3 linked regions of the Schizosaccharomyces pombe genome follow. The protein of the gene in region 3 interacts with the protein of the main gene of each other region in a biochemical or structural test. Each region holds a gene or a part of one and is shown on either strand. Other genes may lie near its edges. The genes, in order: cdc10, rep2 and res1.

Region 1 (7,285 bases), 1.5 Mb from region 3:
TGTAGAAATATCTTACTTTATGGATCCTGTAAGCATTCAGAAAATGGATGTGCTTTTCGACATGATGGTGTAAGTATAGGCGTATTCTCTTAACTTCAGAGAAGCTTCTTGCTTACGATTGTTTGTAGCCTTTCATCCCTTCTTCAGAGAATTTGGAGCAATACTCAGTGTATGATTTTTTTTAAGGCTTTGTACGTATAATTAACCTCGCTAGTAAGAAAAAACTGAATGCTGCGTCGGCCTCTTTTCAACCTGTTCGCGCTTTACCAGTAAAGGCTGCTGGCGCTGCAGTATTTGTTCCTAAATCACAAGAAAAATCTCTTTTTCTATCTAGAGAGCGTACCCCTGTTGCGCTTTCACCAGGTAGTCATGTATGTCTGGCTAACAGCTTATATTTTTCTTACTAATTTTACTGTAATTTTAGGCTATTAATCCTTACAATAATGCATCTATGTTGGTCAATGAGCCTTTTCATGATGACTCTGGGGTTTATTATACTCGTCAAAACCAGTTTAAACCCGTAAGTCTAAAGCCTTATTATTGTTGTTGACAACAACAGACATTGTACAATTTATATAATCCGCAACCTTCTCCCATGCCAACTTTACTTCCTTATGAAAGAACTGTAAACGGTCTATTTATTGATGATACGACTAGAGAAAGAATCGAGAGAAAGAGCGAGGCATCCCGTCAGACAATTTCAGGTACTTAATTTGTGTCTAGCTTCCTTTATACTAATATTTTAGCGCTTCCGTCTATTATATCTTCATATACTTCTTTGGCGCCACTGAATACAAAGCTTTATCGGTATAAAGAGCAAATTGGATTCTCTTCTTGGACGTACAAATGCACTTCTTCCATCGATGGGAATGCTTACGTTTTGAAACGACTCCAAGGTAACCTTCAGATTCATAAATTGCAATTGCTAATATATTTAAAAGACTGTTCAATTAATATTGATACGTCGACTGTCGACAAGCTTAAAAATGTTTTTCATCCAAATATCGTACCATTCCATTCTGCTTTTCATACTGATACATTTCATGATTCTTGTAAGTTTATTTTACTAAACCTTACTAATTAATCAAGCGTTACTATTAATTTATGATTTTTATCCGTGTACTACAACCCTTGGTGAGCTCTACCTAAACAATTCTAAAAATTCTGTCAAGTTGGAGGAAAATAGAAAAATTCCAGAACGAGAGTTATGGAATTATTTTTTCCAGCTTACTATCGCTTTGTCATATCTACATAAATCCGGGTTTGCTTGCAACAAGCTTACTCCGTCGAGAATCCTTGTGGATCAAACTGAAAGGTATTTTTTTTTGAACATTTTTTATGTTTTGATGGAATACATTTCTTTAATTCATTAATGACTTATACTAACGTGTAAAGGATTCGTATTAGTGGTTGCGCTGACTATGAATTGGTAGTGTCAAACAAGCCTCCATTAGAGGAACGAAAGAAGCAGGATTTTGTAGATCTTGGAGTTGTGATTGCGAATTTAGCTACTGGAAGAACTGATATGGACATGTCTTCAGCCGCACGAGCAATTTATAGTACATATTCGAGGGAATTTTATAAAGCGGTTTTATACTTTGTATCGGAAGTTCCTGAGGATAAAAACTTGGAGTTGTTTTTGCAAAATCACATAGAAAGTTTTTTCCCTATAATGAGTTCACCATACGTGGAATGCGAAAAAATGGAGAGAAAAATTTCGGACGCTTTCCAACACGGTCGATTTTTTAATATTTTGTGCAAGATTATGTTTATTATTGATAATAATAGAGCTTCTCGTGAATATCCTATCGCACGAGAAAAAGAAATTTCATTAATCTACTTATTACGAGATTATCTTTTCCATCAGATAGATGAAGATGAGTGTCCTGTGATAGATTTATATCAAGTGCTGAATCGCCTGGGAAAGGTAAGTTTTTTACATTTTTCTCATTATTGCATTTATTAATTCATTAGCTTGATGCCGGTATAAATCAAGCCATCGCATTAATTTCCCGAGATGAACTTGATTGTGTTTCAGTTTCTTATGGGGAGGTAAGTATTTGCTCAAAAAGCCATAGTGGGTGCTTAGTAAATTAGACTACTTTTCCACACTATATAGCCTGTTTGTTTGCAAAATTACTAACAATAACAAATGTAGCTAAAAGCTTGGTTGGACAACGTTTACGAAATGGAAATAAATTCTTAAAATAAAACATTTTTCTTTACAGAATATTTATTTGTTTTTTTGTATCTATTACCATGGTTGTTAATTTAAGTAAATAATAGTTTTCGCTATAATAATATTAGAAGGAAGCTAAGCTTAATGTGGTTTTGAATTACCTACTGCAACACACCGTATTGAAACAAAAACGATCAGGAATAGAAGCCTGACACTTATCAGATAAAATTCATTAATACGTTTTCCTGGTTTAATTATTAATTACGGAAACTCCCATGCTTGTTAAGGTACATACAGACGGTTAATCATAAACTTCTTAGAGGAGAGAGTTTAGCAGTTGTCCTCAAAAAATGGCAAACCCTTTCGTTCGAAATCAATCTTTTAAATCAGTATTTTTTAAAAATTTAGTCGGAATTACCCTATGGGTACCCGTATTAATGTTCGTTGAACAACATGTAGTCAGCGTCGGTACAATTGAAGGTAGATCTATGAAACCAGCCTTTAACCCTGAGACAAACATGCTGCAGAGAGATAGGGTACTACTTTGGAAATGGAATAAGGATTACAAAAGAGGAGATGTAGTTATACTACGGTAAGTTCTTGGATCGTTGCAGGGTCTTTCGGTACTGAGTTTCCCTTTTTATCGTTACTAATAAGCAACAAGCTCTCCAGAAAACCCAGAGGAACTATTGGTAAAAAGAGTTCTAGGAGTAGAATACGATATCATGAAAACGAGACCTCCTAAAAAGTTGTCATTAGTACCCGTTCCCGAGGGACATGTGTGGGTCGAAGGCGATGAACAATTTCATTCTATGTAGGTTTCCAACAATTGTTTTTTTACTTTTTCGTTTTCTTCTATAGAGATATTAACTAGTTTACAGTGATAGTAACAAATTTGGCCCAGTATCGACAGGACTCATCACTGCCAAAGTGATTGCAATTTTGTTTCCCTTCTCTCGTGCAGGGCGTATTGATCATGAAGGTTTCCGAAAGAATGCAGTGTTTTTAAGTGGAAAACGTTCTGTTAAGTAAGCTGCACCACAGTGAACCTGTTTCCTTGACAGTTTAGTTCCATGCTGGTTGGTGCTTATTTACATTTCTTTTAAGGAACACGTTATCCTTAAATTTAATTTATTTCGACGCGTCGCGTTCTATATATGACGTCATTAATATGTCTATCTATTTACCTATTTGAAAAAGATGGAAGTTGGAAGCTACTTTGTATTAGAAATACCAATAAAAAAATATAATTTTTTCATACTCAACATCAAAACTTTTATTTAGGGAAAATTAGAATTGACTGAAAAATCCGTCTCTTTTGCATATCCCGAAACAGTAAAGTCGTTGAGTATAGCAAAGTTGGAAATTTTTCAACAGGGTATTTGAAATGAGAAAGAATTCCATTTCTAAGTAGCCTTTAAATAAAACCCCCAGAAGAAACGAACATTGAAGTAGTCCTTTGTTTTCCTTAGGAAGCCTCATATATCGTTACTTCGAATACGGTCTAACGCCGTACCAAATGTATACAGCTGCGTGAACCTTCCCAGAGCGAATTTGTGTATAACACGAAATCCGAAAAAATTACTTCTATTTATTTGAAAAAGAAAGGAATTCACAATCTCTTAAACAAACCAAGTGGTGAGGAGCTCGAGTCTTCTTTCATGGTCAGTTCAGCACCCTTATTTTCGAGAAAAACGTGCTGCCCTTTATAAAAAATTCGATATTTTTTCGGCATTTTTTATTTTAATATACTATAATGGCTTCAGCCAATTTTATTCGCCAGTTTGAGCTGGGGAACGATTCTTTTTCATACCAAAAACGCCCAGAGGATGAGCCATCACAACCCCTTTCAAACAGAAATATAAACAAACTAAACGATTCATCTACTTTAAAAGACTCTAGTTCAAGGATTTTTATTAACTCCCAAGTTTTACGTGATGGCCGACCCGTAGAATTGTATGCTGTCGAATGTTCAGGCATGAAATATATGGAGCTTAGCTGTGGGGATAATGTTGCTCTTCGAAGATGTCCAGATTCTTACTTTAATATCTCTCAAATACTTCGACTTGCTGGTACTTCGTCATCTGAAAACGCCAAAGAATTGGATGATATTATCGAGAGTGGGGACTATGAGAATGTTGACTCCAAACACCCTCAAATAGATGGAGTATGGGTTCCATATGATCGAGCAATTTCTATAGCAAAGCGATATGGGGTTTATGAAATTTTACAACCATTAATTTCTTTTAATCTTGATTTATTCCCCAAATTTTCAAAGCAGCAACAAATCGAAAGTTCTTCAATCTCCAAAAATTTAAATACTTCTTCTTTTAATACGCGATCCCCTTTGAGGAATCATAATTTTTCAAACCCTAGCAAGTCTTCAAAGAATGGGGTGCACACTATAAACAATATGCAGAGTTCACCTTCACCTTCTTCCTCTTTCTTACTACCTTTAACTCAAATTGATAGCCAAAATGTTAAACGCTCTAACAATTACCTCTCCACCTCTCCACCTATCCTTGAACAGCGTTTAAAACGGCATAGAATTGATGTCAGTGATGAAGACTTACATCCCTCCTCACAGTTAAATGATAATGAGGCCTCTTCATTGTTTCCAGATACGCCAAGGTTGAACCATTCACTTTCTTTTGTATCCTTGGTTTCTAGTCTTCCTCCACTTGATCAGAATATTATGCAGGATTATCATACATCAAAAGACATTTTGACCTCTATCTTTTTAGATGTAAACTTTGCTGATTCCAGCGCCTTAGAAGCAAAGCTGTCGGACTCATTAGATTTGGATGTCCCCATTGACGAACTTGGACACGCCGCTCTGCACTGGGCAGCAGCCGTTGCCAAAATGCCTTTGTTACAAGCCTTAATACATAAAGGAGCTAATCCTTTACGTGGCAACCTCACAGGAGAAACGGCATTAATGAGATCGGTTTTGGTAACCAATCATCTCAATCAGAACTCTTTTGGTGATTTACTAGACTTGCTTTACGCATCTCTTCCCTGTACAGATCGAGCTGGACGGACCGTCGTTCATCACATTTGTCTTACTGCAGGTATAAAAGGCCGAGGTTCAGCATCGAGATATTACTTAGAAACCTTATTAAATTGGGCAAAGAAACATGCAAGTGGTAACAACGGATATATGCTGAAAGACTTCATAAACTATTTAAATCATCAAGATAAAAATGGGGATACAGCTTTAAATATCGCAGCAAGAATTGGAAATAAGAACATTGTTGAAGTTTTAATGCAAGCCGGAGCTTCCGCTTATATTCCTAATCGTGCAGGGTTAAGCGTAGCAAATTTTGGAATTTTTGTTGAAAACGCATTAAAACAACCCGAAGACTCAAAACAAACAAAAGTTTCCCTTATGAGTGAAAATCTGTCCAGCAAAGAAAAGACTGCTGTCCCTCCTCGTCAAAAGAGTAGAGACATTATCGCCTCTGTGACCGATGTAATATCTTCTCTGGATAAAGATTTTCAGGATGAAATGGCTGCAAAACAGTCTATGATTGACTCAGCCTACACCCAATTGCGTGAATCTACAAAAAAGCTGTCCGATCTTCGTGAACAACTACACGTGTCCGAGACGCAAAGAACTTTGTTTCTTGAATTAAGGCAACGTTGTAAAAATCTTATGACTTCGATCGAAGAACAGAAAAGTGAATTAAGTAATCTTTATGAATCTTTTGATCCCAATGGAATACACGATTCATTATCATTGGATGCTGACGCTCCTTTTACTGTCAATGAAAACAACAACAAAAATTTATCTATTGCTGAATTGAAGTTTCAAGTTGCTGCTTATGAGAGAAATGAAGCCAGATTAAACGAATTAGCGAACAAACTTTGGCAACGAAATTCCAACATAAAATCAAAGTGCCGTCGGGTTGTTTCCCTATGCACCGGTGTCGATGAATCTCGAGTGGATTCATTATTGGAAAGTTTGTTACAAGCCGTGGAAAGTGACGGTCAACAGGGAGAAGTAGATATGGGTCGAGTTGCTGGATTCTTACGTGTTGTTAAAGAACATCAAGCATAATATTGCTTTTTGTGGTTTACCACTAAAGTGTCCTGAAATAATTAACTACTTTAATTTTTTTCTTAATATAGAATCCTACCAAATGAATAAAACGTAATTTATTATATGTTAATAATCTTGGCTATTGGAAATTAGTTAAATTTTCATTAAGCTTTTCGAAATATGTTTTTTGCTCTATAGCTAAATTTCCCGATACGCCGCTAAGAACAGTCGAAATGAGGGTATAATTATTGGACAAAAACCTACTTTGTCTCCTTTTGTCATTAACTGTTTTACACAGGTTTTGTAACATGCTCACATAATCCTGAGCTAGTCTTGAAGCACTTCGTGCAACAGGCTCGGCTTCTACGACATTAACACTTAGCATCGAAAGGCTATAAAGTAGTTCAGCTACTCGCTGCGAAAGTGGATGAGGTCGCGAAGTGATTTCTTCTGGCTTCACAGATAAGTTAGTTTTACGGAGTGACTCACAGTGCATGTCCATGACAGCTTGAAAGCGAGGCCACAGAAAAAGAATCATGGAGTTATAGTGTGGCTCAATAACAGGCACTATATTAGTTTGCGCCTGTAAAGCTAATTTTTGAGTAAAACGAATGGACTTCAAAATACCTATGCAATCGATACTGCTTGATATCAATCCTGTAATGTATTTGCGTGAAAAATGTAAAGTTTTTTCAAAGATAGCGGCAAAAACGGTAGCCTGCTGATCTTTAGAGAGGTTAAAGTACTCCAGCAAAAAAGCATATTCAGAAGAGACGTGTTCCGTCAAGACTAATTCCCATGAGCAATAAACACGTTCAATATATTGTGGGGAAGATTCAATATGATGCATTGTAGATGCTGTCAACACAGAGTTCATATCAAAATCCTGAGGGCGCAAGTTTACTGAGAGCATTTGATTCCCGTAAGATTGTTGTGCTCCTTTGGAAAGGTTGAAGAGTCCTTTCCGATCCTCTTCAACGCGAATAGTTTCTCCCTTAAGGACATGAACTTTGTCCAAAAACCTAGAGTACTGTTCGAAGTGGTATAGATAAAACCAATTCATC
Region 2 (6,079 bases), 490 kb from region 3:
TAACGAAAACGGGGTTACTTTGAAAAAGCCTCACTACTTTAATAGAGTTTTGCTTGGGTTTGAATGGAATTCTTATAATCAAGCACATTTCAATGAAGCCCACCCACCTCCCAAAGCAGTTCAAGGGTACCGTTTTAACGTTTTTTATCCAGATTTAATAGGTACAGGCCGTGCACCAACGTATCGAATAGAACGAACACGAAGGAAGAATAAAAGCGACACTACTGATTTACAAGACGATGTTTGCATTATACGTTTTATAGCTGGGGAACCATATCAGGATATTGCCTTCAGTATAGTAGATAAAGATTGGGATTACAGTGCAAAACGAGATCATGGGTTTAAAAGCAGTTTTGACAATGGTGTTTTATCCCTCCATTTTCGATTCAAAAAGCTTCATCATAGAAGGTAAAATAACTGATTTATCATGTTGTACATTTAATGAAATTTAAATTACTGTTACATGTGCAGCTAAACAACCTTAAAAGGCATCTACTAAACTACTTAAGTATTGCATAAATAAGTTTAATCGTAAAGAAACACGAAATCGATTAGTTCGTGATTGAAAAGCTAAACTAATTCAAGAAGAAGGGGGTGATAAATAGAAGGAAAAGGCATCATAGAAATTTGAAGTTCCCTGACATAAAAATATGCTTCGGATGTCCTCAAAAAGCATCTTTCTTCCCCTAATTTTGAAAGGTTAGAAAAAAATAGTATAAATCGAGTAATAACATACGAAAATGACTCTTCCAGAGGCATAAAGGGAATACAAACCAAGACCAGCCATAACAGCGTAGTAAGGATAAACAAGAGCAAAACTACCTGGTCTCTAAATATTAAACAATTAGGTTCTTTTTTCTCTTCATAATTAAAAACAAGTTTCGTTTAAAACTTACCTGCAAGTAAGTTGGTTTGTGGATGCTTTGGAGAAAGCGTTGTTGTTGAACAATAGTATTCTTCATTTTTTTCTTTTTTAATTAATAATTGTTTTAATAATTATAAAACGAACCAATAATCAAGTTAACAAGTTAAACTGTTAAAAAAATGAGGGTTAACGATAAAATGTAGGTAGGTGCGGAAAGGATTGATGGTTCCAATTAGTACATCTTGGTGCCAGAACACAGAGTCAACCTCATAAACTCACATATTTAAGTATATTAATAAGACGGTTAAGTGAAAGATATTCGTATTATTAAAAAAATGCTCCTTTATCGTTTTTGGTATGTATCATTTTAAATTAATCTTACTGAACGAGATTAACGCTAATAATATAAATTAATTGTTGTCAAATAATTTAAGGACGGAATCATTGTCAGATTGATTCTTCTTCAAAAACTAAAGCTATCTCCTTATAAGCTATTGGGGAATCTCTTTCAAACATGGTATAAATGCGTCCATGGCATACTCGGAGCAATAATAGTATAGCGATCAAAGTTAATAATGAAGATGCATTTGCTTGTACTTATATAAATTCTTATGGTTGTTGAGATAAGGGAACAATTTTATACTGAGTTACATATGTTCTATCCTTCATCAGTATTCTCTACAAACGCGAAAATTCCTTGTCCATTTAAGCAATTCGTATTACAAAGCTCTATGTTCATATTATACGAAGGACGTTGAAAGTTTTTAATTGATTCTGACAATGACTTACAGATAGAATATGATGGTTTGAGTTATTGAAAATGCTAAATCGTCTTTTCAAGTAATTGATGAACTAAAACAGTTTCTTATACATTATATTTCAGAAAGTACTTTAAAGATACTCTGCTTTCTTCCTTGTTTTTTTTTTTTTTTCTTTTTTTTTTTTTTTGGAATACTAATACCGAGAAAACTTTCGTCAAATTTTATGGGCCTAATAATAATCTTATGAAATTAAGGTGCACTTAACCGAGCTATACTTTAAAGATTACAATTATCACAACTGAACACAACATTATATTGTTGGGGTAAACCTTTAAATTTCATGCATTTGAAGAAAATTGATTGCATTAGCTTAAAATATAGCTCACTTAGTGACTGGATGATCATCATAATATTATGTCGAGTTTTGTTTATTAGTCTTCCACTGTGAGCTGTTCAAAACTAAGATTATTTAACGTATTTTCATTGGCATAGTGTTGGAGGAAGTTAAAAATAATAAGCAAAGTAACCTCTGGAAGGATAAAACTGTCTATAAAAATAGCAATTACGCTACAAAAGTTTATAGCTTTTACGGCTTTAATGCTATTCTCATTTACAGGTACTAAGACTCCTTTGGATGCTTAGTTACAGTGATAGGGCATAATTAGAATCTTCAATAAAATAGGGGTTTGAAAAACTAAACTACTTGTGAGAAAGAATTAAGCCTTACGTCTCTTTGAGTGAATTCCCTTTTCTGCTTTGTTAATCCATAATCTGCTGTATTTGACTTCAAAATACAACTTTAATTGATTTACTTTTAAAAAGTTGATTGATTGGTAAATTGAAAGTTTTTGCTGGACTTCTGCTTATTTTCACAACAATTATATTATAAAGGGTTAAGTGGTGTGCAATTGGTTTTTAAGAGTTTGAAGCAAGCTCCATGTTAATTCTAATTAAAATAAAATAGAGTGATTAATTTTAAATGGAACGGAGCAATGCTAAGCTAAATATTGAAGATTGGGTCTCGTTAAGAAAGGTTTGTGGTGCAATTTGTTTACAAGGCTTTAATGTGATAAACGGTTGACGAATGAATGAAACCAAATGGAAAACAACTTCCAAAATATTTAATAAATTTTTTAAAATTTGTTTCGCTACGATAGTCAATGAATTGACCCAATGCAGGAGAAATTTGTTGTTTCAGTAGCATTTCTGGATTTCGAGAAACAGATACATTTTAATTAATTTAATGTGTCGCCTTATTTTTTTAAACATGTAAATGACTTTTTTTCTTATGCATATTCTTTTTTTGAGAAGTTATCAATGTTTTAATTAAGTATGGTTGCTATGAGGCATGTAAACAAATGGCAACCAATTCATGTGGTAGGTGAGCAACTTGGTAATAGAAAAAAAAGTACGGTGCAAGGATATGGTAACAGTTGAGTAGCTTAAAATGTAAAAAACAACTTAAGTAACTTTTGTTTTGTTTTAATCCGTAGGATTTTATTCTCTCGGTTACTTAGCAGCCATCACATTAGTAACATACTTGTTACCTTTACCCACTGTACTTCTTATTTTCTCACCTTCTTTTCCTTGGTTCCATTTCTCGACCACTATCTCTTTCCCATTTTATCGCAAACTTATTTTTCAATACTACTTTGTGAACTACATTAAGCCTTTTGCTTTCGTTCTTCTTAGTAGTGCTTCTCTCTCTTCGGACATTGATCACTCGTTTTTTGGAAGTTCGATTTTGCGGGAAAGTTGAGATACACCATTTAATAAAGAGACTATTTGATTAATATTATAGTCAATTTTCGATCAATTCTGTGTTTTTTGTCCATTTCGCACCCACTTTTCCGTTGGTTTGTGAGACTATAGCTTTAAAAGTGAACATCTGTGTAACAGGAGTGATTGAAACTATCGTTTTTGGTTTTGATTATTTGTTTTTCTTTCCTTTCAATTTTGTTTTTTTGTGTTTAATTCGCACTTTTTGGAAGCTTCTGCTAGCTGTGTTCATCGCCCTTATCAGAAGCCTTAATCTTTTCGTTTGTTGGATTTAATTATTTATTTTGCTCGAACAATAGTAATCGTGGTATCCTGTCTCCTCTCTTTGACTAAAATCCAAAGCCATGCATTTTGCAGACATTCCTCTTAGCAAGCCATGTCTGAACAACCCCCCAACATATCCATGGTCATCCCCAATTTTATCCAGTATTGCTAATCCTTCACTATGTGATATTGTATCTTCTCCATCATCTGTTTCTTCCTTTGCTTCCTCGGATGATTTTGCATTCATGAACGCATATTGTCTGCCCATACAACAAAACCACCAATTTGGTAGTCCAGTTGCTGCTTCGCCAAACCAACAACCGCTCGTAGAAAGCCAAAATCGCCGGAATGTCACTTATGCTTCTTTAGTCATAGGAAAACTTGGAATTGCTCAACTCATTCGTCAACAAACTGATCCTCCTCAAATTATCCATAGAAAGCAAGACAAGGGCTTAATGGCAAGGGTCTTGTCTAGATCCAAGAAGCAAGAGGAGAGAGAGAATCACTCTTCTGATGCTCGTGATGCTATTAAATCTGCCCTTCGAAGGAGAATGCGCCGTCGTGAAGGCCGTGTTCAAAAGGCTTTAAGGCCCACCCCTAACTTAATTTGCTCAAAATGCAATACCACGTTCAACCATTCAACGGCTCTTATGATGCATGAAGCAACCTGCTTGAATCAAGTTCCCTTTAAGCTTTCGGACTTTTTTGTTGAGGACGTGATAGATGACTGGCTCTTTTAATATTTCCGTTCATACAAAGAAGCAGCTTTCGTATCTAGTAGCATTACGGATATGTAATAATTATCGCTTATTAATGACGCTGGTTATATAAAGCGTATTAAAATTTTGCTCAGTCGTTTTACTCTTGAGAGCTTCATCACTTCTTTTAGAGAAGTTATTTTGAGATCATAGTATAATTTACTACATCAATTAGGTAATCAAGAAATATAGTTTGAAATGATAGAAGACTGCTCTTATAACCTTGTTTTAGGAAACGATCATCTATGCACTTTTTTCTATGTTTTGCTATCAAATATCACTATTACAGACACTATCTTTTTATTTTCGCGAAAGCTATAATGAAATATATTACAATACAGCTCACACTTCATCTAGATTGAGCAAACATACTGTAAAGAGGAAACACCAGTTCTAAAGTTACAACTGACTTTAGTTTAAGGCATAGGATAGGCATTTTATTCACAGATTTGCAATTGATTTAATAAGAGGAAAGTAAAATAGGACTATGGAACAAGGCTATCGTCTTAAAAAAACCTAAGAAGGGAAATCATGTAAAAGATAAACTATTTTGACACGAGAGGAGGGAAGCAATGCATGCTAATGTTTTGAAACATGGAATGAAAAAATGACTTATAAAAACAATATTTTAGGGGCTCTTTTAGTAGTTTCATGCAGGGATACGTTCTACACGGATATCTCGATATTCGTGTACAGACGGGTGCTTGGATAATAATGCAACTGCGTCCGAATCCCAGCCACTTCTCCAAAGATGAGCGCCAACAGGTTCAAGATCATAGATTGAGCAAAACTCAGAGAGGTCAAATCGTTCGCGGACAAGTGCATTAGAAGGAATACTAATACTAGATGACTTTTGCCGCAAAACAAGGGTTAAGATACGGTGTTTATCTTCTCCACGGTGAACAATAGGAGGCCGATATTGAAAGAAAGCTTTAGAAGTATCAATGGGCACACGTTTGGATGCTTCAATGGGGATATTCGTTAAAAGCCAGTTGCAATGAGTCTCAAACCGGTTTGTTTCGTAATTCGGGACATCCAAATCTAGTGTTATAACTGAATAATGATTCTTTTTACAATTAAAGGGTAAAACTGATAGCCACGGGGTCTTTACAGTAACCGTACTTGGCAAGATAGTGCCAGGAGTGATAGAATCATTATTTTCGGGGTTAAATCCTAACTGTACGTCGACAGATGGCGAAAATGAGCCAATCCCAGAGTCCTTTATTACTTTCATCTGCTCCAATCTTTGTAAAAGAAGCAATTTTTGATAATCTTCCCACTGTTGCTTAAGCATGTAAAGGAACACCGGATTCGTGTAGTCGATCTCCTTTTTATGAAATTTAGAGCGTACTTCCGGTAAATTAATTTGTGATAAAACCTGTAACCGTTCTATTTCTGGGGAAGTTTCACTTGGGTTTTCTAATAATTTAGCCTGAAGCTTTTTGTGAACTTTCTCCGAGTATTCCTGTATTAACTTTACAGAAGAGCGATATGCATTTTCCTGAGCAGCACTGTAAATACTGCGAGCCCTACAGACATTCGAAATCGTAGGAATTCTAGGCCATACGCGTTTCATCCTTGCAATGGTAAAAGCTAAGTAATTAACGGTATGGATGTGTATAGGAATAGAATAACACAAGAGGGTATAGCGC
Region 3 (7,470 bases):
TCCCGTGCACGTACTGCAGCAGCAAACGAAATGGCTGATGGTTCAGGTGTTGACTTGTTAATGAATGAAGGTGAAGAAATTCGCTCTAAATCTATTGCCCCACGTTCACAAAGCAACCGTCGCGAATCTGGTGTTCACGCAGAAGGTGCCAGATCTTACGCTGATCGCCTGGCTCGTGTCAAACAGATACACCGTAACCGCATGGCCAGGGCTTCTGAAAGTGATCGACATGTTATTGCTGCCAAGCCTAAACATTTGCTTAGCGGTAAACGTGGTAACGGTAAAACTCAAAGAAGGTAGAATAATGGTTTTGGACTTGGGGTTCTTTTTTTATATAAAACTTTAATATTTGGTTGGTTATTTGGGTTTGGATAATATGGGTGGACTTGCAAGACTTTCTACCTACATCCCTTTTTGTTTCTTCACATAAATTACTTTTGTTGGAGGATGTTGTCCATTAGGAAAGAAATTTAATATATTTCAAAGCTTTTGCTTAATGTACTTTCAGTTGACAATTGAAGCAGTTAATTATGTAGCCGTGCATAACAACACCTGTAGTTTTTGGCTGTAAATTTTATGCTGAGTAAATAGATGAAAGTAAAAAGAATGAGTAATTAAAATCTAAAGTTAATCAATAGCTAAGGTTGATCGTTGTTGAACAGAGAGGCAACTGTCGTGCTCAAGTGCTAACTGCTTTAAGATGCCAAAAACCATACCCTTGCAATTAGCAAAATAATGCTAGATTAAAAGGTTATAGTTAGATCAACTATGCTTTGTTTAAATAAGTAATACTTATAGCTTGATTCTGTTATAATCATGTTCTCTCCTTGTACCGTTAAAGAAAAACGTTCAACTTTGCGAAGTGTCGCTCCCAACCCGGAATCTTCTGTTATACCTCCAATTCCTTTACCATCAAGAAGGTATAAAACAAGACATATTGATGCACTTTGTTCGTTGATGCACCTTTGCTTATTGCGCAAAGATTACCCAAGGGCATCTAGGGCTTTTTCATTACTGTTGAGATCTAAGAGTGTTGACATTTCCAAATTATGGAACATTGGACTTGAAATTTTGAACAAAGTTAATCCAGAAGCTTCATCAGAGTATATGGAGCGACTAATAGCTCGATATCCTGCGCGTCCATCCATTAACAACTCTTATCCGAATCGTAATGTAAGTGTATACTGGTACAAAACGTCTATACTTTCATCTTTTCGTGTATTGAATTTTTTGTCCCTTCTTATTTGAAATCAATCATATGTCGCAATTCTATACTAACATTTACAGGCAGAACATTTTTTTCCAGCATATATCATGCTACTTATTCAGCGCCAAGAATACAATAAAGCTATGAAGTTGCTTGATGAGTATTTGCTGTTACCACCCTACAATCAGAATCCTGCATTGCATGAGTATTCCGGAATGTTGTGTTTTGAACTTGCCAAGGAGGAAGCTTCAGAATCTGAGCGAACTAAATGGATTGAAAAGGCGAAATACAACTTTTCAAACGCAGGAATTGACGTCGAATTGTAGATTTAACATTCCCATGGCATTTCAAAAAGCACATTAGTATATTTAATATTTTAGATTGACCATCAGAAAAATTATGTATATTAGCAAATAATAAGATGGGAAGATACATTTAAATTTAAATTTAAAACTAATCATTAGATAGCCAACGACTGTATAAAAAGATTGTTAAATATCTATAAGTTCAAGTTGGTATTTATATAAAAAACATAAAGAATGCAAAAAATAAGATAACGAAAGAAAAAATTATTTTGAATAATAATTTAAAACCAAAAAAATTAAGATCCACTTTGATCTGTATTAATCGTATTATACATTCCCATAGAAAGCAAGTTCAAAATTTCGTTAATTTTCTGTTTCCGTTGCGCTTGCAATGAGCATAATTGCTCAACGAGCTTTTCACGAGCAGCTTCGTTTTCAGCTGTAAAAAGATCAACTTCGTGTTTTGAGCTTAAAGACGAACGGTTCGTTTTAGTATCATGACCAACAAGGTTTTTGGTCTCCGAGATATCAGCTAACTCATCAGTACTCCATATTTGAGAAAAGTAAGTTACGTATTTTTTTAATTGATGAAGCTGAACTGTTTCAAGGTAATATCTAGCAGTTTTCAATGTATGCAGAAATTTTTTACACTGGTGAATCAAATCCTCCCGCTGATTTACCAAGTAGTTCTCGTCATTATTGGTACGTTCATTCCATAATCTTTGGCAAGTTTCAGTTTCCCGAACTGTTTGCTCCAACGCCTCCATTGCCAAATTATAGGTTAGTTGTTTTTCAGCAAGAGATGCTTCATGGCATTTTGAAAGTTCGCTCAGCTGAGTGAAGACATTGGGAAGGGTTTGGTGAGTAAGTTTATTAGAAAAGTAAGAAATAGGTTTTTTGGACGATAAGTGGTCATCAAGTGATTGCGGATATTTTAAGTTATCTATCAAATTATCCTCGATTTTGGAATTTAAGGGGGAATCATCATTTTCGGGAAAAGACATGTCTTTCGAAGACAAAAAATCTGTTGGGTATTGGCCCTGATTATTTGGTATGGAGGATGATGCATAAAAGGATAATAATAATCTCGCGCATTTCTTTGCACCATTTCTAGCGCAGATCAAAAGAGCGGTATCCCCATGATCATCCTGAAGGTTTATAATTTGGGCAGCGACATCAACGGATTGTGTTGCAGTTAAATTTTGCAATAAGATATCCATATAATAACGAGCGGCTTCCATCTTTGATTTAGAAGAAGCTAATAATGCGATGTGGTGAAAGACGGTTTGGCCAAAAGAGTCGTTCATGCAGATAGCAGATTGAAGCAACTCCGAAACTACCTCAAAAGTCTGTAAATCATAGTTCATGGTAAACATTACACAGCGCATCAAAGATGTTTGTTGAAGGTAATTGACAGCAACTACGTTGGCGCCTGCTTGCAATAGTGCATGCATCATTTCCAAATTTCCCATTGCAGCAGCCCAATGAAGTGCTGTATGACCATCCTCATCAATGCCAGCATTAACATCCCAATCTGATGGCCGATCATATACGAAATCAGGAGGTTGTGTAGTATTTGGTAATAAAAAGTAATCCAAGAGAGACTGCGCATAATTGTTTGAAGAAAACGGAGAAGCTTTGATATCGTGCAAAGATCCCGTAAAGGAATCAGAAGGCATATCGGGAGAGCGCGTGAAATCAGATTGAAGAGACAAAGCATCATGGATTCCTGACATTCTAGAAGTAGATGTCATATTATTGGAAGATGTGTAAGGGTAGAGTAAAGAATGCGAAGGCCGGGAAAATGACTTTTTTACTGGACTGTTTCGTCGATATGCTTCTGTAGGCTTACGATTGCTCTGAGGAGTGAACGTAGACATTGGCATGAACGCAGAGCCAGAGTATTCAATCAGAGGTTGTATTAAATCAAAAACATTATATTCATGAGCAAGTTCAACAGCTCTTTCAGAGGGTACCCAAGTTCCTGAATGAATAGTTAGTAACAGGCATCCAAAAAAGTATAAATTGATAAATAAAAACAACAGAGACAAAAATTTTATGTTATTTAAGTAGTTTTAAACCTATTGATATAGTAAGAAGTTAACACAAACCTTGATATTTTCCACAACCACCTTGAATTTTTTCATGAAGTCCCTTTTGAGCGAATTTCTCCAGAATCCTTGTCCTCCTGGGTTTATCGAGCTCTGCAATTTTAAGGATTTGCGTGGCATTAAGCCAGTTATCATGACAACGTTTCATTAAAGGAAAGCCATTGATCGTATACTCAAATACTTCCACTCCTGAATAGGTGATTTTATGTATTTGGTCGTTATACATAACGGCACTATTGGCAAGCAATTTAAAAAAAAGGAAGGAAGGAAGAGCTTCAAAACTTGATGCAATAACAACGTTTCGTCTCTCTAAATGTTTGTAATAATTTAATGTCTCAACTCCACAGCGCCAGCTATTAATATCATATAAAAAAAAAAACGAAGCAAATGAGAAAGAAGAAGCAAATTGAAATTTCCTCTACAAAATATCGATAGTTTTTGAAAACCGAGTATTTATAGCAGATAAAGTCGGAAATACATATGATACTAACTGCATGCACTAAAGAAAGGATATATTCTCTCAGCGGCGTTTGCCTCAAAGATTTTTTCAATTAAAAAGTATTTAACTCTATGTTTTGAGTTAAAAACAGATGTTTTTAAAGACCTCTGCTATCCCTAAAAATCCACGTATCTTACCAGCTGATGTAAGATACTCAACTACCAAGAACTTTAATATGTAAGGACAGAAACCTTTCGAAACTTTCCAGATCACGATTTGTATAATTTAAATCAAAAAGCTGTAGATTTGGGTTTATCGACTACGGAGCCGATTTAGTCCGGATTTTTTCAACAGCGAGATCTCAGAAAAATCGAAAAACACTGCTTCTTACTCACCAAAAAAATCCCTAAAATCACAGTAAAGTGCTTCAGGAAATGCGGATCCTTTTTTTGATAAAAAGGAAATTTGCTTGCTTTTTTAAGATCTCACACAAACAGAACTAAATCTTTCACCCTCTCTTATGGTGAGTTAGTGGTAAACGATAAATACTTGAAGGTTACATATTAGTAACTCAATTATTGTACCATTCGATTCCACTATGTTAAACCAATTGTATTACATAAATGATAAAGAATTTCATTGTTCAACTCGAGTTTTTCTAATAAACCATTTTTATTTATAGACTGCAGTGACTACTTATTCAAATTCACATTGAATATGAGAATAAAAACATTCCAAAATTTCTTAACATTTTCTTGTCATAATAAAAAGTTAATCACCAGGCTTCTGTTTAAAGGTTTTACCATTATTTAATATTTGGTATTTCAAACACAGAGCATAAATACCCGTCGCAGAATTGAAAAATAAAATCCTAAATTTTTTATAATTGCCCATTATATGCGTCTTTCGAACGTAAATAATCATCACTAAAAACCAAATCCTACAAATTTTTACAAAAATAATACACAAATACCATTTTGTGAAACATTAATTATCCCTCAACTCAATATTTTGGTAGCTTCATTCCTAACTGTCATCTTGGAAAGATTCGAATAACACAAAAGAAGAAACAAACACAAAAAAAACAGATTCACGGAACTAATCAAAAGATAGATGGATATGTGCAAAACAAAAGCTTAACAAGTAAACCAATTTCCTTCGTCTATTATAGAGAAATTTTTGAATACCGCTAAATGCAATCGCTTTATAGAAAATTCCTTCTAATATGAGTTGTATCTATCACCACAAATATACAGATAAAAAAATTCTATAACATATGTAAATACCAACTAACTTCACTCTCTTTAAAAAAGCAAAGCTAAAAACCAAAAAAGATACTTATCCAATTATTCTCTTTCCTCCTTCCAAATTTTTAAAAGAAACATTACCATAAGCTCATTTGGCTTGGTACTGCTGTCTGTAAGCATCCATTGCCTTTGATTCAGCTGCAGTTAAGTCTGATTTGGTAAAGTCAACAATGTCGTCCAAAGTAAGGATGGAGGAAACGGGTAAGTTAAGCTCCTTCTTCAATCTACCAATGGTACTTTCGTTTACTTCGGGGTCCAGTCGCTCTTGGCGGTCAAGCAAAAGGACGATACCAGCCAATTTTACGTGCTTAGGTTCTAAGAAGGAAATTGCTTCACGAATGGCAGTTCCAGCGGTAATAACATCATCCAAAAGTAAAACCTTTTTACCTTCCATTTCGGCGCCTACAAGGTTACCTCCTTCACCATGGGACTTGGCCTCTTTGCGGTTATAGGCAAATCCATAGCTCTTTCCAGTTTTTTCATAAAGTTTGACGGCCGTTATAGCAGCCAAAGAGATACCCTTATAAGCAGGACCAAATATGACATCAAAATCAACGTTCATAGCGATAATAGTCTCGGCATAGGCTTCTGCAAGAGCGCATAAATCGGCACCATGAGTGAAATTACCAGAATTGAAGAAGTATGGAGATTTTCTGCCTGATTTTAAGGTGAAAGTTCCAAACTTCAAAACATTATGTTCTAAGGCACGACGCAACAACTCAAGTTTATAAGACATGTTTACTACTAGTTTTGTTGATAAACGTTGATACTCACAAAAGAAAAAAGCTAGTATCACCTTTTCTAAGCTCTACATGGGGGTTATGTGGGGGAATAAACAAAAATCATAACTAAAGAAAAATGCAAGTTTGTAGGCAAACTACTCAATCTATAATCTAATGTGCAAAAGAGAATTAATGTCCTATCAAAATGGACTTTTTTCCTTTTATTAAAAAGTTTGACAAGTGCTTTTGAAGAAGCGAAATAATCTTGTCTCTGATAAAGTGCAATCGTTAACTTCCACTCAATTCAACCATGTTGGCTGAATTTTATCAATAACGCTCATATACTGGTTCACTCGATCCAAATTTCTGACATGTGAGTCTCCAGTCCAGAAAAGTTTCCAAGGTGTTTTGCTTGACTTTAAGGAGCCTACACTTCTTTCAAAGTACCATTTATTGACTGGATTAGTCAGGCGAGAGCGCCATATCAACTCTTTGGGAAATAAATCAGTCATAACATTAAACATAACATCAGATATTGCTGCTGAACCCTGGGCTCCTTGTGAGACGGCAAGCTTATCAAGATAAGGGACCTTTTCATTCGTTGTTCCATCTGGTTGTTCATAAGTTACAATGGCTGTCCCTAAATAGTCCCCTGCAATAATGACTGCAGCTAGCGAATTCTTCAACCTATCTAAATATGCGTCCATATCAAGCGTTCGCTTAAAGGAGTCATTAATTAAAACCCAAAGCCTTTCCCACGAAACGGAGCCATCAGTTAGACATTTCGGACCTAGGAATGTATATACCGGTACACCGCTACGCAAAACAGTTGTTTTCGTAATAGGAGATCGATCGCGCGGCAAGGAACATGAAATAATAGAGCGATCCGTCAAAACATTGTGAATTAACGGATTTTTGTCTAAGACAGGATTTGTAAGCATAGCATCCTCAGGCGTAGTGATTAGAGCAGAGGCATCATCCGGTAACATTTTCAAACAGCGTCTTACCAAAATCAAATTTTTTCTATGATAAGGTGGAAGTGTTTTCGCTAACTCGTCAAACTCTTGAGCCAGATTGATGAGAACATGACTAGAACCAGTTTGTCGTTTAGAACATGGCATGCCACCATTTTTATCAAGAATGACGATTCGGTCTACCCAAAACCCAAAGTTTGGCTTGTGTAACGAGTAAGTTAAACCAGCAAGAACCTCATTACCATCAATTGGAACCTCAATGACGTTGGGCATTAAAATCGAGCTTGGCACTATGACCGTGTAAAGTGAAGACAGCGCTTGAAAAATACCTTGCACATTCTCAACACTAGGGCCTTCAGGGCCCAATTGACATACAGAGGAGTAGCTAGGACGGGTTAACACTCC

What was found.
Region 1: the proteins of res1 (region 3) and cdc10 form a complex in vitro, tested with the Schizosaccharomyces pombe proteins (one study listed by BioGRID).
Region 2: the proteins of res1 (region 3) and rep2 form a complex in vitro, tested with the Schizosaccharomyces pombe proteins (one study listed by BioGRID).

Annotation. Positions count from the first base shown.
Region 1 is NC_003423.3:2,760,241-2,767,525, reverse strand, and holds cdc10 (DNA-binding transcription factor, MBF transcription factor complex subunit Cdc10), read left to right. Parts: upstream 1-3,725; 5' UTR 3,726-3,935; coding exon 3,936-6,239; 3' UTR 6,240-6,360; downstream 6,361-7,285. Other genes in the region: PAN complex subunit Ppk26, read left to right, coding at 1-69, 129-169, 215-371, 425-520, 560-704, 747-896, 942-1,052, 1,090-1,315 and 3 more; mmp2 (endopeptidase catalytic subunit), read left to right, coding at 2,530-2,771, 2,844-2,993, 3,061-3,211; GARP complex subunit Vps52, read right to left, coding at 6,361-7,285. UniProt on the Schizosaccharomyces pombe protein: Major component of the cell cycle transcription factor complex MBF (MCB binding factor, also known as DSC1), that controls G1-S phase specific gene expression. Involved in the control of rRNA production, via interaction with pol5.
Region 2 is NC_003423.3:1,714,475-1,720,553, forward strand, and holds rep2 (transcriptional activator MBF subunit Rep2), read left to right. Parts: upstream 1-3,228; 5' UTR 3,229-3,749; coding exon 3,750-4,409; 3' UTR 4,410-4,848; downstream 4,849-6,079. Other genes in the region: cay1 (cactin), read left to right, coding at 1-412; cytochrome c oxidase subunit VII Cox7, read right to left, coding at 666-686, 737-829, 897-962; mrpl35 (mitochondrial ribosomal protein subunit L35), read right to left, coding at 5,077-6,003. UniProt on the Schizosaccharomyces pombe protein: Transcriptional activator which interacts with the mcb binding subunit complex formed by res2 and cdc10. Rep2 is required for the mitotic cell cycle start.
Region 3 is NC_003423.3:1,229,714-1,237,183, reverse strand, and holds res1 (MBF transcription factor complex subunit Res1), read right to left. Parts: upstream 4,599-7,470; 5' UTR 3,850-4,598; coding exon 3,624-3,849; intron 3,497-3,623; coding exon 1,809-3,496; 3' UTR 1,597-1,808; downstream 1-1,596. Other genes in the region: GTP-binding protein Nog1, read left to right, coding at 1-300; RNA polymerase I transcription factor subunit Rrn11, read left to right, coding at 817-1,173, 1,288-1,533; orotate phosphoribosyltransferase Ura5, read right to left, coding at 5,458-6,105; acetylglutamate synthase Arg6, read right to left, coding at 6,391-7,470. UniProt on the Schizosaccharomyces pombe protein: Acts as a positive regulator of the mitotic cell cycle and as a negative regulator of sexual differentiation. May be involved in the transcriptional regulation of the cdc22 and cdt1 genes. Is an integral component of the DSC1-like complex.